Drosophila melanogaster: one gene and its partners. The protein of the gene in region 1 interacts with the protein of each later gene in a pairwise test. Each region holds a gene or a part of one and is shown in the gene's direction. Other genes may lie near its edges.

The links.
Region 2: the proteins of cerv (region 1) and EMC8-9 interact in a two-hybrid assay, tested with the Drosophila melanogaster proteins (one large-scale study listed by BioGRID).
Region 3: the proteins of cerv (region 1) and CG3708 interact in a two-hybrid assay, tested with the Drosophila melanogaster proteins (one large-scale study listed by BioGRID).
Region 4: the proteins of cerv (region 1) and Spf30 interact in a two-hybrid assay, tested with the Drosophila melanogaster proteins (one large-scale study listed by BioGRID).

Annotation. Positions count from the first base shown.
Region 1 is NC_004354.4:15,575,743-15,580,167, reverse strand, and holds cerv (cervantes), read left to right. Parts: upstream 1-1,996; 5' UTR 1,997-2,278; coding exon 2,279-2,357; intron 2,358-2,402; coding exon 2,403-3,016; 3' UTR 3,017-3,182; downstream 3,183-4,425. Other genes in the region: CG7872 (uncharacterized protein), read right to left, coding at 733-1,734.
Region 2 is NT_033778.4:22,880,361-22,885,198, reverse strand, and holds EMC8-9 (ER membrane protein complex subunit 8/9), read left to right. Parts: upstream 1-2,508; 5' UTR 2,509-2,599; coding exon 2,600-2,797; intron 2,798-3,278; coding exon 3,279-3,692; 3' UTR 3,693-3,877; downstream 3,878-4,838. Other genes in the region: YME1L (YME1 like ATPase), read left to right, coding at 1-145, 199-291, 397-479, 535-851, 908-1,298, 1,374-2,037. UniProt on the Drosophila melanogaster protein: Part of the endoplasmic reticulum membrane protein complex (EMC) that enables the energy-independent insertion into endoplasmic reticulum membranes of newly synthesized multi-pass membrane proteins like rhodopsins.
Region 3 is NC_004354.4:928,298-933,075, reverse strand, and holds CG3708 (uncharacterized protein), read left to right. Parts: upstream 1-2,977; 5' UTR 2,978-3,091; coding exon 3,092-4,180; 3' UTR 4,181-4,278; downstream 4,279-4,778. Other genes in the region: CG3706 (uncharacterized protein), read left to right, coding at 714-2,048; MED22 (mediator complex subunit 22), read right to left, coding at 4,309-4,526, 4,591-4,692, 4,749-4,778.
Region 4 is NT_037436.4:23,712,607-23,717,775, forward strand, and holds Spf30 (splicing factor 30), read left to right. Parts: upstream 1-2,416; 5' UTR 2,417-2,518; coding exon 2,519-2,560; intron 2,561-2,684; exon of another isoform or gene 2,685-3,108; coding exon of another isoform or gene 3,109-3,111; intron 3,112-3,295; coding exon 3,296-3,714; intron 3,715-3,766; coding exon 3,767-4,037; 3' UTR 4,038-4,083; downstream 4,084-5,169.

The DNA of each region.
Region 1 (4,425 bases):
CCACACGCATGTATCCGAAACTAAAGTCAGCATTTCGCAAAACAAATCAACTTTATTTGAAGGCTACCATTGAAAAATCTAGACTTCTTTACTCTTCAGCTTATTTTCAAGCACGTACTTAAGTTTAACTTTCAGCAACCGCACCAAACCAAGAAACAATAAAAAACGAAATTGTTTCTAAGCAAACTGTGTAAACAAAAGCACGGAGAGATGCTGTTTAGAGCGAATAAATGCCACGAGATCGAATTTTTGGCCATCCAGAACAACTGTGCAAACCAGGCACAGTGAACAACCAGTAAGAGAGACGTTTGAATTTTATCTAGTTTATTACAGTAATCGGTTTAGTCAAGTTAGTTAGGAAACACGCGAATGTGGCGTGCTTTTTTTGTGACCAGCCAGGTAGGGGTATAATTGTTCTAGGATGGTTCGTTCACGGCAGCCAGTGGACACTGTGCCGACGCGTACCGAACGTGGCCACGTTCTTGAACCGGTTTTGGCGGATCGCTCCGGCGGGGTCAACGTTTCGCCCTTTGGCGGACAACACCGGGACATTAACATAATTCATATTGATATAGTTGGTGTACAAAAAATTTCTAAATATATATATATAAATGTATCAAAATTTAGACGGTATGGGGATGCCGAGGGCGAGGAATTTGGGATCGGTTTTACAACACGCACACAACAGACTTTTAGATGGAACAATGAAACTTGAACATCGCAGAGCAGCGGCTAATCCTCAAAGGTGATGCGGCCGGGTCCGTGGTTCTTCATGTATCGCCTGTACGCCTTGTATCGTGGATTCTCCGCCAGCTTCTTTTTCATCTCCTCTTCCTGTTCTGCCTTCCAGGCGACGAAGTTCTCGCGCTTCCACAGCTTCAGATGCAGGTACTCCTCGATCAGCTTGTCCTCCTGCGCCTCGAACTGATGCTGGCCCATGCCCAGGTGCCGGCGGATGAGGTAGAGCTTCTGCTCGCGGCCATACGGCTGCTTCATTACCGTGTAGCGCCAGAACCACTGAGCGTGCCACACGATGAACGAGAGTATCGTGTAGGGGCAGATGATCAGCTGCACCCACAGCACATCCCAGAGTGTCGGCTTCGCATAGCCGCCCTTAACGTCCATCTTCTCCTCGATCACCCGCCGGATGATCCGTTCCAGCTCATCGCGCTGATCGTTCTTGGACATACGATTCTTGCCCTTCTTCTGGATCTTTTCCTGGATCTCGTCGCGAGCTATTTCCAGGGCCTGGTTCCTATACTTGGGCACCGTGGCAAAGTACTTGATGGCAGAATCGTAGCGCTGCCAGCCGGAATAGTACTGGATGACGGACACAATGGTTAGGACGACCACGATAACCACGCGCACATCCACCTTGGGCGCCACGCGTCGCCGGTAGTAGCGATAGTAATGCGCATAGTATGCATCCGGGTTGTCCAGCATGTAATCGTAGTCCGTGCGCGACTCCTCATCGCGCAGGATCTCGTAGGCGGTGGCCACCAGCTTAAACTGCGTCTCCGCCGCCGCCTTGGCCTCGGCACCCCGATGCAGATCTGGATGATAGCGCCTCGCCAGCTGGCGGTATGCTTTGCCGATCTCCGACTTGGACGACTCTCTGGTGACGCCCAGCACGTCGTAACAGTTTTCCTTGCCACAGTACAGGCCCTCTAGCAGGCCCAGGGCCATCGTGGGCAGCAGGGCCAAGAGCACCAACCGTAGTCCGTGCGTCCGCATCTTGGATAGCGCTTTCACCCTGGGGACACGTGTAGCTGCAGCTGGGGCGCACAGCTGGCACTCGTTGGCTGGGATCGGATCGGAGCGGATTGGTTGTGACTTGGATTGGTCCGCAGCAACTGGTGGCAGTGGCGGTCGCGCTGGCGCTGCTCGTCCGTCTGCTCGGCGTTTGGCACACTGAAAAGTTGGCCGCCGCTCGTTATCCAGGTTGACATTGGCCGATAACACCGATAACCGCGATAGCTCGCGGGTGGATAAGACCGTATGTTGGGGATATGGTCACTCTAAGTTAACTCATTTTACATTTTATTTTAGAGTCGCTAATTTGACGCACATTTATTTTACTTAAATTTCAGGCATAAAATCCATGCTTATACACCACGATTATTAACAGTTCGCCAAATACCGATTACACCCTCGTTAGGCTGCCTATCGAACTTATCGGTCCTAGCTGAACCTAGCTAAGCGTCAGTCTTGAACATTTGGATCCAAATATTCTGGATTTGCAATTTGCAAAGCGTCTGCATAGAATCTGGGCTTTAAAATGGACTTCAATTACCATGTGGATTCGGCACTTACCACTTTATTGGAAAACCAAAAGTTCTTCAAAGAAATGGCAGAAGGTAAGCCATGCGACACACTGAGACATCTTTAAAACCTACCCACAGTCGTGTCCGATTTCAGTGATGGCAGGGAGATCCAGAAGTTGTTGGACCAGAACGTGGATCTCGCCGAGAATCTCATCCGAATGAAGAGCAAGCACCAATTGCTCAGCAAGGCTATGAAGCATGCCAAAAACTCTAGCAACACCATCGAGAAGTTCGAGGAAGTCTGGAAGGAGCGCTCCGAAGCGGTGGAGCAGAAGCGCATCGATGTCAAGAACTCAGCCGAGTTCAAAAACTTCATGAAAGCGGCAGCTCCCCAGGCGGGTGCGGAAACAAATGGTCAAGCGAATAGCGCCGCCCATGACGAGGACCTTATCATGGAAGCCACCGGCGGCGAGGTCTTCTCGCTCTACGATCCCTGGTCCAAAGCCTTGATAAAGAACCCCGTGCGCAACAAAAAGTGCGGCCACATCTACGACCGCGACTCGGTGATGCTGATCATCACGGACAACATTGGTATTCGATGCCCAGTGCTCGGCTGTCCCAACAGGTCCTACATCCATCCAGCGCACCTGGTCAAGGACTCCAACCTACAGCAGAAGTTGCAAGAGCGCATGTCTGACGCGATCGAGAAAGAAACTTCCTCGGAGGAGGACGATGAACAGGCAGATCATTAATTATGCGCAACTTCCTTCTTGTCGACTAATAACGCAGCGTAAGATATCACGTTCTTGTAAGACAACCATTTGATGAAAATTTAAGGTACAACGAATAAACATGTTTTAAAAATAGTCCCGAAAAAATTTAGAGAAAATATATTAGAAGTGCAGTATGCACGTATGTATATAGTTTGCGATTTATTTAGAAAATTGGTACAAATGTAGAAACAAATGAATATATAGCACGATTGCCATCGAAATCATCGCCGAAACATTCTAGCGAGTCTTTGCCGCAGACGATCCACATCAGACTCATATGGCACCAATGGCACCTTGTCATTATCCGGATCGCTACTATCTTCAGAGGAGATCCAGACTGATTTACCATTGCTAAGCTTCGGCTCTGAATCCCCGCAAGCCATGGGGTCCTTCAGCATGGCTGCTTCCTCATTGTTTTTGGTTTTTTGCCGGAAAAAGCTTCCGGCATGGGTGCCTTGGTCAATGGGCCAGCTGTTGGCGACTTGCGCTGGAAATCTCTACAAATAACGAAGAATCTATCGGGAGCGGTGAACGGAATAATGAAATCGGTGAGCTCTATGAAGAATCGTAGGACTTCATTGTTTCGTTTAGAAAACCTATCAACTTGTATGCGTAAAGCATTTTCTTGAAATGGTCATCTTAAAAATGCTGTGCTTTGCAAATAGTTAAGTATTATCCGCTCGGATATGTGAATCAACTGAGGTCCTCACGCCAAATTATAAATGTGACTTGTAGACTGCAAAGTCATCGCCTTCTTTTTTGAGTTCTTGACACAAGCAAAAAGGGTTGCCATGGCGTTGTCATGCCCTTGGAGATAAAACCTCTAGACTCAAATATTCTTATTATGTTCCGCTGACATAATAAGTATTAGTGTTTTTATTTCATAATAAATTATGCAATTTACAGCATCGGAAATTGGTAGCTTCAGTATAATATTATCAAATATATTCAGTTTTATACCCGTTACTCGTGAAAGGGTATAGTAGATTTGTTAAAAAGTATGTAACTGGCAGAAGAAAGCGTTTCCGACCATATAAAGTATATATATTCTTGATCAGGAACAATAGCCGAGTCGATCTGATCATGTCCGTATGAACGCCGAAATCTGAGGAACTATAAAAGCTAGAAGGTTGAGATTAACCATACAGATTCTAGAGACATAGACGCAGCGCATGCCCATATTGCCACGCCCACTCTAATGCCCACAACCCAACAAAATAAAATAAATAAAAAACTTCCCCATGTTCAAAATTCTACCGATCCGCCATCTGCACTAACTGACCGACGCTAACTCACCTACGCTAACTTGACGCACATCACGATTATTAACGGTTCTCAAAAGAACGATTACACCCTCGATAGGCTGCCTGTCGAAATTATCGGTCCTA
Region 2 (4,838 bases), on another chromosome or scaffold:
ACAAAAGCGCAATCCCACAATGACCTCCCGACTAAAGAATGCTCTGGCCAACTCGCCCCAGCGTCTGGATGGGGACACACCCCTTCAGGCTGAAAAACTGAGACGGCTGCTGGCCAAATCCGAAGAGCATGGATTTAATAAAGCCGTAGGACGACAGGGTCTCTCAATTGTTAACCGTACTAATGTTTTGTATTCCAGGAGAGCCTGAAAATTGCCTTTGCCGAGGGCTACTTGGCCGCCGCTAACTCGGAGGACTCTCCAAAATCAGGAAAAACTATGAAATATCTGAAGGTACGAGTTTAAATTCATTCAAAGTGTACCATGATTACTTTGAAAACCACAGAAGGCCTTGGTCTTCTTTAGTGTTATAAATAAATTCTAGTAATTGTCACGCAGACTTTGCAGACTATCGTCGTTATCGTCGTGTTCTTGGGCATTTTCCTGAGCTTCTTTACAACCTCCAATGGATCCGTATTTCGGTGAGCCTCCACGTTATTAGTTTTGCTTTACCCATCTGATATGCCTTTCTTTCAGCAGCATACAACTGGGCAACCAGGTTGAAGTGGACCCTGAGGAGATCAACGTCACTTTTGAGGATGTCAAGGGTTGCGACGAAGCCAAGCAGGAGCTCAAGGAGGTCGTTGAATTCCTGAAGAGTCCGGAAAAGTTCTCAAATTTGGGCGGAAAGCTTCCAAAGGGAGTGCTCCTGGTTGGCCCGCCGGGTACTGGCAAAACACTGCTGGCCCGTGCCGTCGCCGGTGAAGCCAAAGTTCCTTTCTTCCATGCTGCCGGACCGGAGTTCGACGAGGTGCTCGTAGGCCAAGGAGCCAGACGAGTGCGTGATCTGTTCAGTAAGTAGATTTCAATTATCCAAAGTGCTCAACTAAACAAGAACATCATCTTGCAGAGGCAGCAAAGGCCCGTGCCCCTTGTGTTATCTTCATTGACGAAATCGACTCGGTGGGCGCCAAGCGAACCAACTCTGTGCTGCATCCTTACGCCAATCAGACCATCAATCAGCTGCTCTCCGAGATGGATGGCTTCCATCAGAACGCTGGCGTCATTGTTTTGGGAGCCACCAATCGTCGCGACGATTTGGATCAGGCTCTGCTGCGTCCCGGCCGATTTGATGTAGAAGTCATGGTGTCGACGCCCGATTTCACTGGACGTAAGGAGATATTGTCTCTGTATCTGACGAAGATTTTGCACGATGAAATAGACTTGGACATGCTGGCGCGCGGCACCTCTGGTTTTACTGGAGCGGATCTGGAAAACATGATTAACCAAGCGGCGTTAAGGTAAGGAATAACTTGTGTTGTATTATTCAATCACAATTTTGAAGAGCGGTACTAATAATTCTAACATTTTGGCAGAGCTGCCATCGATGGAGCCGAAACGGTCAGCATGAAGCATTTGGAAACGGCACGAGACAAAGTACTTATGGGACCCGAGCGCAAGGCTCGTCTACCGGACGAGGAGGCCAACACCATAACCGCTTACCACGAGGGCGGCCACGCGATTGTGGCCTTCTACACCAAGGAGTCGCATCCGCTGCACAAGGTGACCATCATGCCCCGCGGACCCTCCCTTGGACACACCGCCTACATACCGGAGAAGGAGCGTTACCATGTCACAAAGGCACAGCTGCTGGCCATGATGGACACCATGATGGGCGGTCGTGCTGCTGAGGAACTGGTCTTCGGCACGGACAAGATTACGTCGGGAGCCAGCAGTGATCTCAAGCAGGCAACCTCGATCGCGACGCATATGGTCAGGGACTGGGGCATGTCGGACAAGGTCGGTCTTCGCACCATCGAGGCGTCAAAGGGTCTGGGCACCGGTGACACCCTTGGTCCCAACACCATTGAAGCCGTGGACGCGGAGATCAAGCGCATCCTCAGCGACAGCTACGAGCGGGCGAAGGCTATCCTGCGAAAACACACCAGGGAGCACAAAGCGCTTGCGGAGGCGCTTCTCAAGTACGAGACTCTTGACGCCGACGACATCAAGGCAATACTGAATGAAAGCCAGACGTAGTTCCCCCATCGGTGTGGTTTGATGGTGTTCAAGGATCCAATTGGAAGGCCGGGTTGGTCTGCCACCGGACATTCAGCTGAACTGCTAAATATTTTTAGTTACAATATACATATATAAAAAACCGGAGAAAAAAACCAAGCAAGAGCGAGACGCAGACGGACAGTTAAGAAATAAAATGTTACACATATTCAGTTATGTTTTCCATCATTCACGTTAGAATTAAATATTAGTTTGAGTAATAAATTAATTTGAAGTGGAATCCACATATTGTTTGCGCGCCCATATCGATGTGACCAGACTACTGCAACCTATGTTAGAAACCATTTTCTAGAACTTAAGTTATAAATATATTTTCAATGTTAAAGACATAATTAACAAATATAGTTTTGATCACATTTTTTGTGGAATCCATTCCATGCTCATCCATTTTAGTATTTTTCATTGTATATTTGACGTTTGCGGTATATTTGAACAGCTGCGTCGCGGTCACACTTTCTAGCTGTCGAATTTCCAATTCATGTTTTATTTTTTGCCGAATAAATTGAGATAATATTCTGAGAAAATGTGCGACTACAAGGTCTCGGAGCGGGCGTACGCCAAGTTGATATTCCACGCGGCCAAGTATCCACACCAGGCGGTCAACGGACTCTTGCTGGCCGAGAAGACATCGAAGGGCTCCCAAGTGGAAATCGTGGATGCGATTCCGCTTTTCCACCAGTGCCTGTATGTCACCCCCATGGCGGAGGTGGCCCTCATGCTGGTAATTACCAATTGCCCTTCCTAAACTCACATCACGAGGGGCTCGGTGCATTTGTGTCCGGACAGCAATGTGGTGCGCCCCATAATGGAACTATTATGGCTTCAATTTGTATCTAGATCCTCGCACCCTGGCCAAACACTCCGCTATCCAAAAGATATATAACTATTCTAACTTATTGCGGCTGCATAGTTATCCAGTGTTGTGCTTAGAACAGAAAGGTTTATGTTCCAAGCGATCTTTATTTAGTAAAATGTACCTTGTACCCCACGATGGTATTTTAATATTAGCATATCAAATTCAAAAACTAGTGTCACACCACTTTTACCCTGTTAGAAGTTTATTACCCAAATTAAACTAGCAGTCTTAAAGCATTGAAGTTGTGAAGACTGAATTAAATTTAAAAGCCGATAAGGTTGTACCATTGTTTAAATTAAAACATTTTATAAAATAACGATAATAATACATTACCTTACACTTTCAGATCGATGCCCACGCCGAACGGGAAGGATTAGTAATCGCAGGCTACTACGCAGCACCGGAGAACTTCTACGACAACCAGGTCGACAAGACCCCAGCCGCCAAGATAGCTGACAAGATCCAGGAGAACTTCAAGAACGCCTGCTTTGTGGTGGTGGACAACAAACTGATGACGCTGCAGCACGACCGAGCCGCCATCCAGGTATTCAACTGTCCCGGAGACTCTGGAGCAAGGTGGTCAAAGGCCAAGTTTACGCTCTCACAGGCGTCCGATACATTGGAAGGCGTGTCGCTGCTGCTGAAGCGCGGAGCCATGCGGGATTTGGTTGACTTTGACAACCATCTAGATAATCCGGACAAAAACTGGACCAACGACTTCCTGAATCAGCCGCTCAACGATCTGCAGAAACTGTACTAGTCGTCCGTTTCAAACGTACGTTTTTTTTTTAGTCTAGCAAAATCGCATTCGAGGGAACATGCCGGAATTTCAACCTTGCAATTTAATTTATTGTAATTACATTTGGATTTCAGTAATCTTTAGAATAATGCATATAAGTTAAATAACATTCAACTAATTAATAAATAATCAATTCTTTCATCATGTTTTGAGTCAAATGTTGTCTGCAGTCCGAGTCCGTCTGTTGGTGCACCTATTGTAATATCCTTTTTAAGTCCGGTCCGGTCCGGTTCTGTTCTGTTTATTGTGTTGAGTAAACCTAAGCGCGTTACAATTATCGTTAATAAATACAGATGAATAATATGTATATAATTTTGCTTTTGGTTTGTCTGGCTTGTAAATTGAAATATTTTACAATAATATTGTAATATCGCGATTGCTGATTATACATAGGTATACATAATACGTACTTATGTGGATATATCGGAGATCGAAAGTATCGCAAAAACGTTTATTTATATAATTTCAGTGTATTGTATATTTTCATATTATCTGATCGAACGCATAACGAACTCTTTACACCGTACACTAAACGTATAGGGGACCGGGACTACGAATCACTGATCACGGATCTCTGATCACCAACGGGATGCCATCCTGAGCACCTTACTCGTATTTGATTTGCCAGTTATATGCTATATGCTTCTGTAGTTCTGTGTATAAGGAGTATGCTTTGGGCTTGTATATAATATCTTTTGCTTGATTGAGTTATGTCTCTTGTTGGTTATTTTTCACCCAGTGTCCGCTGGAAGGGATGGGCAGGTGTGGGTGTGGCTGTGGTCGTGGTCGTGGGCATGACATGGGGGAATCTGTTCTACGTGGGGCGCCTTTTGATTATATCCTAGCTATACAAGAGCGCCTGAACACGCAAGCATAATCAGTATGTAAGAGTATGAGGCATATTTCGCTCGGACTCTTTCTCAGTCCACATCGTGATATATCTGGGTTGGTGTGTCTTGTGTTCCGTCACCACATGCTATGTTAGTTGATCTATAAGAATGCAATAGAGAAGTCATGTATCAGTGGGATGCTGTGGGGGAATGGCTAGGGAAGAACACCCAAACGAAAGATGCACTGCAATTTGGAAAACTCTAGTAGTGTACGATT
Region 3 (4,778 bases), about 15 Mb from region 1:
CGATTTCCGAGTGTTGGCAAGTGCTCTTCGCGTCCCTTAAGGACATTTTCTAGTGTTGGCAATGGGAGTCTGGCACTTGAAGCACTTGAATCGAATTCTAACGGCTAGGTTTCAGCACTCCAGCTAGTTTTCACATCCATCGACTTGGAAAATCTCTCTTTTGGCGAGATTGTCAGCTCCAGAGCCCCACTACATCCAGTCGGGTCACATCCAAGTACCCACGAACACATTTGCTGAAGCACTCGGTCTATGCAATTTTTTATCTTGGCCAATCGTTGTGGAACTTCTACGCAAGCAGACTTTGCACCAGAAGATAGCCTGCACCACGGCTATCTGGAGCTGGCTATCGGCCGCTCCTGGCGACGATGACGATGACGAGTCCAGCTAATGTATCAATCAGAAATCGCGAGCGCAGACAGATCCAGATTTAGCGAGCTAGTCATGCATCGCCGCAAAGCCCGTCGATTCCGACCCGATAAGCCCAGTCCGAGGAGGTGGGGCCGAAAAGTGGGTTTAGACGGTGGCGGCTTATCGAGTGGCGATAAGCGGGACACAAGACCCACTTCCCCACACATTGTCCAGTGCAGGCCTCGCAGTCGCGTCCAATTGGCCAAGCCGTTCGGTAACGGAGCATTTTTGACGAGGATCGACATTCCGCGGAACTCCAAAGAGGATTTAATTTTGAACAGATTTTGAGCATCTTGGGACACAACATGATCGCAGCGCTCGGGCTGATCTTCGGCATTCTAACGGCCTTGGTGGTCGTGGCACTTAAGCTACTGGGCCTGAAGCCGCCACTAATCTTCGGCAAGTACCCACTGAAAGGCATCTTTTACCGGGTGAAGTTCTGGATCGCCCTGCTTGTCCTTCGCCGCCTGAGGTACCGCATCTACCGTCGGAACGAGGAGCTGCTCGGCTCCGAGGAGCACCTGGCCAAGGTCGACAGGCCGCAGCAGCTCAGCAACGACCCGAAGAGCTATGACGTGGTCAGCTTCATGGCGGCCAACAAGGAGGGCCAGAAACTAATGGTCACCTTGGAGCGAAGGAGGCGCGGAGTCCTCAAGGCGGCACTGTACCTGTGGCTTCCCGAAAGCGGCCTGTTCAGTTCGCCGAATCTGCCCGATATGGTATACTTCACCACCGCGGATGGAGCGGAGAGCAACGCGTTCCAGGGTGGAGGCTTCCACGTCTACCAGGAGGCATCTATGCGTGTGTGGCGGCTCAAGTACTCCGGACTGCTGAAAACTCAAGGGCCGGACGTGCAGGACGTAGCCGTGGACTTGGACCTCCGTTTCGAAAGCTCCTCCGCTGAGCACTTCGACTACAACAGAGATCTGAGCAGCGCCCTGATAGCCGACTCCATAGCCAGAGAGGCCTGGAACGAAAAGTTCTACAGCCTGCTGCGCAGCGTCAACCACATCGTAGAGAAGCGCACCCACTACGAACAGAACGGAGAACTGGCCGGCCAGGTCACGCTCGATGGCAAGGAGCTGGCGCTGAAAATGGTGGGCTTCCGGGACCACAGCTTCGGCACCGAGCGCTGCCTAAGCTCCATCAACCGGTACGTGTACTTTGCCCTCTTTATGGACGATGGCAGCAGCATGGTGGTGGGCAGCCTCAGTCAGCCGTCCTTCTTCCTGTCCTCCCTGAAGGTGGGCTACGTGTGCAGCCCCGAGCGGCAGTATCAGCCGCTGACCGGGAGCAACTTCGAGCTGTACTCGTACGGCGAAAAGGGAACGCCGCCGCAGCACCAGAATTTCATTGTGCGCACCGAGGAGCGGGAGTACCTCGTGCAAATCCAGGTGGAGGCCTCCGCGCTGCGCTACGTCGGCGGCGACTGGGAGTCTAAGGTGTTCAACCAGTTTGTGGCCTGCACGGTCAACGGAGTTCCCGGCCAGGGCCACGCCGAGTTCCTGTACCGCCACAAGGGCGGCAGGCCGGAGGATATATCGTCCGGGGACCCCGGCTGGTACCAGGACATCAAGCGCTTCGAGAGAAGCCTCTCGTTGCTGGAAGAGGAGGGCCAGGACGAAGACTTCATCTTCTAGGACGCCGACGAATTGTTTTTGTTTTCAGTTTAAGATAGCATGTAAAAGTATGGGGGAGACCCATCCTATCAAAATAAAGAGATTTTGTTTGAATGACATTCGAGATTCTGAAGTCATTGGCCGCGCTGATGTCATCGGTAAGTCCAAACTAATTCAGTTAACCAACAATCCAACAGCAATATCCACTGGAGGCCATCCGGTGCAGCTGCAATCTGGTGGACTCGGGTCGATGAGGAAGATTACCGAATCGCTGGTGGAGGAATTGGACCCCCCGTGAGGATTAGTCGCCCATAAATTAGCATGCGACAGACGAACGGATTAGATTGGACAGCTACTTCGGTTTTTCTCCCAATAAATAATGGCGATTCGGGCCATCGGTTTATGGCACCCAAAAGACAACGGGCCCCACTTATCGCTCCGTCGGGCCAATAAAACCCAAGACCAGGCACCAAGACTGGGCCCAAGTGCCCAGGTGTCGCAGATAAGAGGCGAGCGGCGGGGCAGATAGCTTCAATCCAACAAAATAAACCATGCTCGGGATCTGAATGGAGCATTATGCTGCCGTCCGGTTCCGACCTGCCGCAATGTCAGCTTATGGTGGGCCGATAAGTGCCGGGCATGACCCTCCCTTCAGTGTCCAGTCCACAGCCCATATCTGGGCTCATGAGCAGGTAGCTCCGATAACGCAACCGCCGACAGATATTGGCCACCGATTTGCCCGGAATTCGGCAAATCATGCACTGTTTCTGGAATTCGCCTTCATTAATTATGCACGTAACTCTGAAGTGGTATTCCTCGTAGGCGAAATTATTTGTTAGATTACGCAGTTATTGTAATCAAAAATGCGATTGCTTCTGGGCAAATCCAAGGAATCATCAGCCGAATTTTCGTTCCCAGTAGTAGGCCGGTTTCTGTGGAAATCAAGGAACAGCTTTGATCTAGCATAGTAGTTTCCAAGTGCCCAGTCGCAGAGCTGGAATATACTTGTAGATTTATATACATATATGTTGCCAAATTTCGAAGTTATTGCACCGAATTGCACAATGATTGGGATGGCTGACAGCGCGGAGGGGGTTACCCAGGAAGACAGCCACACGGAGTCGAGGGCAGACGGCATCAGCGGGTCCTTGCGCTCCCTGGGCACATATACCCAGGAGTCCACAGAGCCGGCTTTGAGTCCGGCGGACCTTCCCGCCCGCAGCCGGAAGGCCTTTCTGCGGCACATGATCGGCCAGCTGGCGGAGCCCGTGCAGAACCGCATACGGGCACTGCGGCACAATCAGCTGCAACAGGTACGCATTTCGGAGCAGTTCTTCCGGGAAGTCTACGAGCTGGAGCGACGTTTCTACGGCCAGAGCTGCGCGCTCTTCGATGCGAGGCGGGATATTTTGGAGGGTTCGGTGGAGCCACCGATCCAAACGGAGAAGACCTGGCCCGAGGACCCGCAGGATGCTCTGTACCTGGACTTCGGGAACAACGAGGAGCTGCGACAGCTGAGGCAAAAACTGGCTCCGGTTTCGCCGACTACGCTGGGTGTTCCACGCTTTTGGCTGACAGTTTTCCAGAACGTGCCCCTGCTCTCGGAGTTGGTCCAGGATCACGACGAGCCGCTTCTGGAGAGCCTAATGGATGTGCGCCTGGCTTACGACCAGGACAGCTACATGGTCATCTTTCAGTTTCGGCCCAATAGCTTCCTGCACGATTCCTCGCTGCTGCTCACGAAGCGCTACTTTCTGCAGCACTCGGCGGACCCGGAGTATCCCTTTCTGTTCGAAGGGCCCGAAATAGTTCGTTGCGAAGGCTGCCACATCCACTGGCGCGATGGCTCCAATCTCACTCTCCAAACGGTGGAAAGCAGGCGAAGGAACAGAGCACACCGAGTCACCAAGGTCATGCCTCGGGAGTCCTTCTTTCGCTTCTTTGCTCCGCCGCAGGCCTTGGACCTGTCGCTCGCGGATGAAAAGACCAAGCTGATCCTTGGCAACGATTTCGAAGTGGGCTTCCTGCTACGCACCCAAATCGTCCCGAAGGCGGTGCTCTTTTACACGGGCGACCTAGTTGACAGCCTGAGCGCGGCCTCTCCGGACAGTCGCTCCTTGTCCTCGGAGGCGGAACAGGAGCAGGTCTTGTGAGTGCGACGCGACTAGCTGTTTGCTAAACAAAATTTACAAGTGAATGTGGTAATGATTTCTTATTAAATTCTACAGTTCGGCCAAAGCCAGTTCATCACAAATAAGGTGAACCCCTTCCCCTCCTAGCGCTACTTAAAAATGCTGGTGTAGTACTCCTCCTCCAGGTCGTACAAGTCCATGGCCATTTCGTCCCTAAGTTTCATCAGCTTCTTGTCGCACTCGCTCTGTGTGTTCCTGAACAGCTGCGAATTGTTTGTGATGGCCTCGTTGACCGAGTGAAAGTCGTTGAGGATTAGGTACTGTTTTAGGTCGGCCACCAGCTTCATCAGAGACTCGCCGGCACGGACTATAAAGCGGAATGCATGAAGGAAATGGCTCGAATCTGGTTCCCAGGGAGTGGATTTACTCACCCATGTTGGCCGCGCGGACCTGCATTTCCAGGGCATCCTGTTCGCACTGCGTGGTCTTCGAAATCTGGCTGTGGCTCTCACGGCGCGCCAGCTTGAGTATTTCTGGAGGAGAACACGGTATTACAATCTATTGCTCGGAGCAACTGAGCCGCACTTACCTTCAAAATTCTCCAGCATGCTGCGAACGT
Region 4 (5,169 bases), on another chromosome or scaffold:
TCCGCAAAATGGCCAAGCTGGCCAAGTATGACAGGCACCCAAAGAAGCAAGAATTCGGTGAAACGCCACTACCGTCACACACAGGGGAAATGTTGCCCATAGGCATTTTCTCTACTGACAAAAAGTTTTTCCTCACTTGCGTCGACAAGTTTTGTAAATTTGCCATTGTACAACCTACCTCCTCAAGGTTTATTGAAGACCTGAAGCCAGCGCTGCTTCAGCTGATGAACTTTTTCCCAAGGTCAAAGATCAGTTATTGCGACAACGACCCGTCGTTGAAGTCGCACACGATCGTGTCCATGCTTTGTAACAACTTTGATGTAAGCATTACAAACGCACCACTACTAAACAGTACCTCCAACGGACAGGTGGAGCGTTTCCACGTTGCTGGAGCTAACCAGGTGCATAAGGATAGACAAGGGCATAAGTGATACGGTCGAAATAGTAATGTTGGTAACTACCCAATATAATAAGTCGATTCACTCGGTCATCAAAAGGAGACCGGCTGAAATCGTCGTAACGCAACCTGATGAGCCACAGGTAGATTTCCACAATAGGATCCAGAAAGCTTAAACCTAAGGGTCAGAGAAAATGTCTCGCCGCAGAATAGGGTATTCGATGTTAGCGAAGAGATGTAGGTAAAATCCAACCGAAGACTTGGCAACAAGCTCATATGCGAGGAAAGAGCTGTAGAAGCGGACATGGGGACCACAATCCTTATTGAGGAGAGGGTGGTCAAGGACAATTTAAAATAAAGCGCTCAGTAGCAAAGTCCGTGTACCGCTTAATTTTAAATTTTTTAGCAATTTGTAGTAGATCCACGCATATCATATTCTTAAGCATTTTTCTTGTTATTGGGGTTGGGTTCCCCCTTGTCAGCAAAACAGAAAAATTAACCATTTAAACTTTCACCCACTGAACCAATTTTATCCTTCTCGTATATCTATCATTGGCATCGGCACTCATCACCTTTCGCGCGCCAAATACATTCCCATAGTCGACGGCCAGATCCTGGTTTGGAAAAATTCTGCCTATGTGAGGCACTCCGCGAATCTTTCGTAGGGGTCGACGGCACCCGTCATGCCGTCATTAACGGAACCCTGTACGTCAACCAGAACGGGGTCCAAAACAGAGTACCGGGGGTAGCAAAATTCCCTCTGCTGAATGTCACCTCCCAACAAAGCGTGCTCAGTCTACCATACCTTCATAGCCTAAATGAACGTAACTTAATCGCCTGAATGAACATAACTTAAAGACAATACGAAGGTTCAGAGAAGAGGTCAACGCAGAACGCCCCCAGCGAGTGGCACTAATCGTGGCAGCATCATGTTGCCTTCTGTTGTGTGTTGCCATTGTGGGTTGGCGTGCCCAGAAGGCCAGGAAATCCACGAGACGATTTTACGTGGCGTTCGCTGAGTTAAGGGCGGCCGAGGACGGCCTCCATCTTGATGCTTTTAATTTGAATTCTTGTATTCGTTTATTCAGTTATTTTCTAACCTTGTAAGCACTTGCTCTGCTCAATAAAGAGACATTTAAAAGTTACGCCGTCGAATGTTTATTGTGAACGTTCATTTATATAGTGACGTATTTGCGCCACCCAAACCGGCCAATTTCATTAATTCCCTGAACAATAAAGCTGTTAATTGGTTCCCGTACTGTATGCCATCTGCTCAGTATGCGTTTTGATAAACAAATTCATTGGCAACGGAACTTTGCCATTCATGTAAACAAATCCGAAAGCCTAACATTAGAAGTTAGTTCGATTTGTAAAACGGGTACTTTTGTCAAATCTTATCAGATCTTATTTACTAAAGGAAAAAATTGTTTACTCAGTGGTATATTGATGTTTATTGCAAATCACCATAAGATTATTCTGTCACTTAGTTATTTTATACAAAATTTATTGATTTGACAAACAAAAATTTGCCGACATCGGAATTAAAACTGTGAAAAAGGTGGCCTCTCTAATGTCAGGAAAACAGCTGTCCGATAGCAAAACAAAAACCAGAGCACCTTAAAACGCAATTAAACGATTTTGCCCGAATCAAAATCGAAAAAAAATACGATTATGTCTAATAGAACAGTCTATATAGTAAGGTCCATAGAATCGCACATTACACATTCATTATCTTTGAAATCGAAAAATTTAAAAAGTAGCCATGCTTAGGGAAATGGCATCTGTGGGAACAGTGCACATACATTATACACATACACTGTTCGTAAAATACCTATATTTTTATATTTTGCCATCTAAGCAAATTACAACATGCTTCTGATTTTAACGTGTTATTTTAAATGACGATTTCAATCGCTTCAAAACCGGGTCTCTTATAGGTCTGATACGTTGTTGATGCTAATCTGTGAGAAACTCATATAAATTCCATTACTTACGTAAATATTATTCCAAAACAACGTAATATAGTAGTAGACTTGGTTCCGCTGCCTTAGCCTATTCAATAAATAATATAATAATTTCTTAAATTATCCAATGTAAATAGTGGAATCTGACAGTACTTAAATGGCGGACGACTTGCATAATTATAAGCTACAATTGCAACAAGTGTGTATAATTAATTAAATAAAGTATATATTTTGGTGTGGTCTTGGTCAAGATTGTATATGTTTCGCTTATATTCTTTAAGTAAAGACATTTTGTTCAGTCCTTTAAAATAATAGTAGTCAGTAGTCGATGAAGCGCAACTGGAGGATGGCGAGTACTATATGTACATATGTACATATAAACGAAGAAATACAAACCAATTTCCTGTGGATGTCCGGTCCCAATCATTTATATACAAACATCGTTGCCATGTTAGGAGTTTGAAAAAGAATCCAGCTTCGTACTGGAAAACAACTCGCAACTTCGGTGTGAAGAACGGTGACGACTATATACAGAGATATTCTATACAGCTTTCATAACATAGCTTGGATAAATACTATCACTTAAAAATGTTGTGTAAACTATTCCTTGATTTCGTTTGGCTCGTTTATGGCCATGGCCTAGTAATGTTATTATTGTATTCCCCTACTGAATCAAACCAAACATTGGAAATTTATTTGTGCTTTTAAAAAACGTGTATATAAGCCAACCCCTTAAAACAAGCGCTTATGGTAAGCCTGTACATAAAGATTCAGCTTCTGGTTAGAAAGTTTACTTCCTAATGCGTGGCATTTCAAAGATCAGTTTATTGTGAAATGTTCATATATAAATAAACTTTTTTGAATTATTCAATCTACAATGTAATATATTGAAATTGTTGCACATGAATTAAGCAATTATAAATTTAATTTTTAGGTGGAGGCAGCTCTTCAAACTGATCCAGAAAATGAAGAGCTATTAAAACTCAGAAGTGATCTTGACGAAGTTATTACCCTTACTCGTGATTTGATACAAACTCAACTGGAAGAACAAAATAAATCTTCATATGTGGAGCCATCATCAACCAAAAGAGATTCGTCCAACTACTTCGACGAAATAGAAGCAGCTCTATTAGAAGCAGAAAAATTAGTTTCAGCTGCTAAGATTTGGAAAAAAGGAGACAAGTGTCAAGCTAAATGGAAGGAGGATCGTCAGTACTACGATGCAACTATTGAAGATATATCAAGTACAGGAGAAGTTAATGTAATATTCGATGCCTATCAAAATCGATCTACGACCCACGTCAATGAGTTGCGTGAACGTACTATTCGCAACGAAGTTTTTCCGTCAAACAAGTATAAATATTTTAACAGTAAGAGTAATAAATTTCTAAAACGGTTTTTACAGGCGGCACAGGCCCAATCAAAAAGAATATTTAAAAAAACGTAAGCAAAAAAAGCAACAGCGCTTCAAGGACTTGGAAGAGGAACGTGAATCAGACAAGAACAAATGGCTTAATTTTAACAACAAAAACCAAAAAAAAAACGGAATGAAAGCAAGAAGTATATTTGCGTCTCCGGATAATGTAAGCGGCAGAGTAGGAGTCGGCACTTGTGGAACTGCAGGAAAGGGCATGACAGATTTTACTGTGGGTGAAAAATATAGAAAAGGTCTTTAGAATATTATCTATTAAACGGTATAATAAAAAAGGTTCATAAAAATATAAGAAAACAATAATAATAATAATCTTTATAGTGAAATTTATAAATTTACCGGGCATTACCGCTTCGGTAATCGAATTCGTACAAATTTTTCGATTTGATTTTGATATCGCAAAATCGATGGTCCGGTTCTCGTGTGCCGCGTATCATACTGCTCGATTCGCGAGAGGATAGACGCTTCTATATCGTACAGAAATCTAGGAAAAAATATAATATAAAAGAAATATAATAGATATAAATATAAATATAATTAAAATCTAATTATGTGTTAAAAAAGTAAGAGTTGATTGCTTTCGGGTCACGAAGGCGCCAGCAATTCCTGATATATACTTTGTAAACATGCAAACTTTGGAGACAGTTATATAATTTTCTTCGTTATCTAAGTTTTTCTGTCACGATCTCTCTAGTACTCTCGCATCTACACCGTTGGCTTAGTGTTCTGCTGTTCGCTCAGCAATTAAGTCACTCATTATTATGCGCTTTTGCTATCTACGCATATATTCATCGAAGCACAATCTTGCTCGCTAAATCCAATAAAATCTTATAGTTTGAAATCACTACATACAATTCGTGTTTTCATTGCTCAAAATAGCTAATAAAAAGACTATGATTTAGTATTATGATTATGTAGTTTCTAGTGAATTTGCTTGAAACAGGGAAAATGTAGCCGGGACTATCAACTTCACCACGAGTAAGCTTTTTTTTTATCAATTTTTATTTTTTCGGTAGAAGGAGACAATTTTTCCAATATTTTCTGGTTAAGCTTGTTAACTTGGATTGAGCTTCTAACCATAAGAGGCTCACTGCCAGTTGAGAAAGTACCTCCACATGACCAGGTAATTGATCAGCAACCAGCTGCGGTCGAGGCTACTGAAAAATTAACAAAAGCTGTCGTAGGCACAATGGTGACTCCGTTAACGTATTAAAAGGCATCTTCTGAAGCGCCTTTTAAGTTATCTTTCCATAACTTTGCACGCATCTCAATGGGAATAAAATCTGTGCTCTTGTGCATTGATTTTTTTGGCGGTATTTTGCTGGCACCGTTATAATTGGTGACCACTGGTTAAAGAGTGCTATTAATAGCGCAGA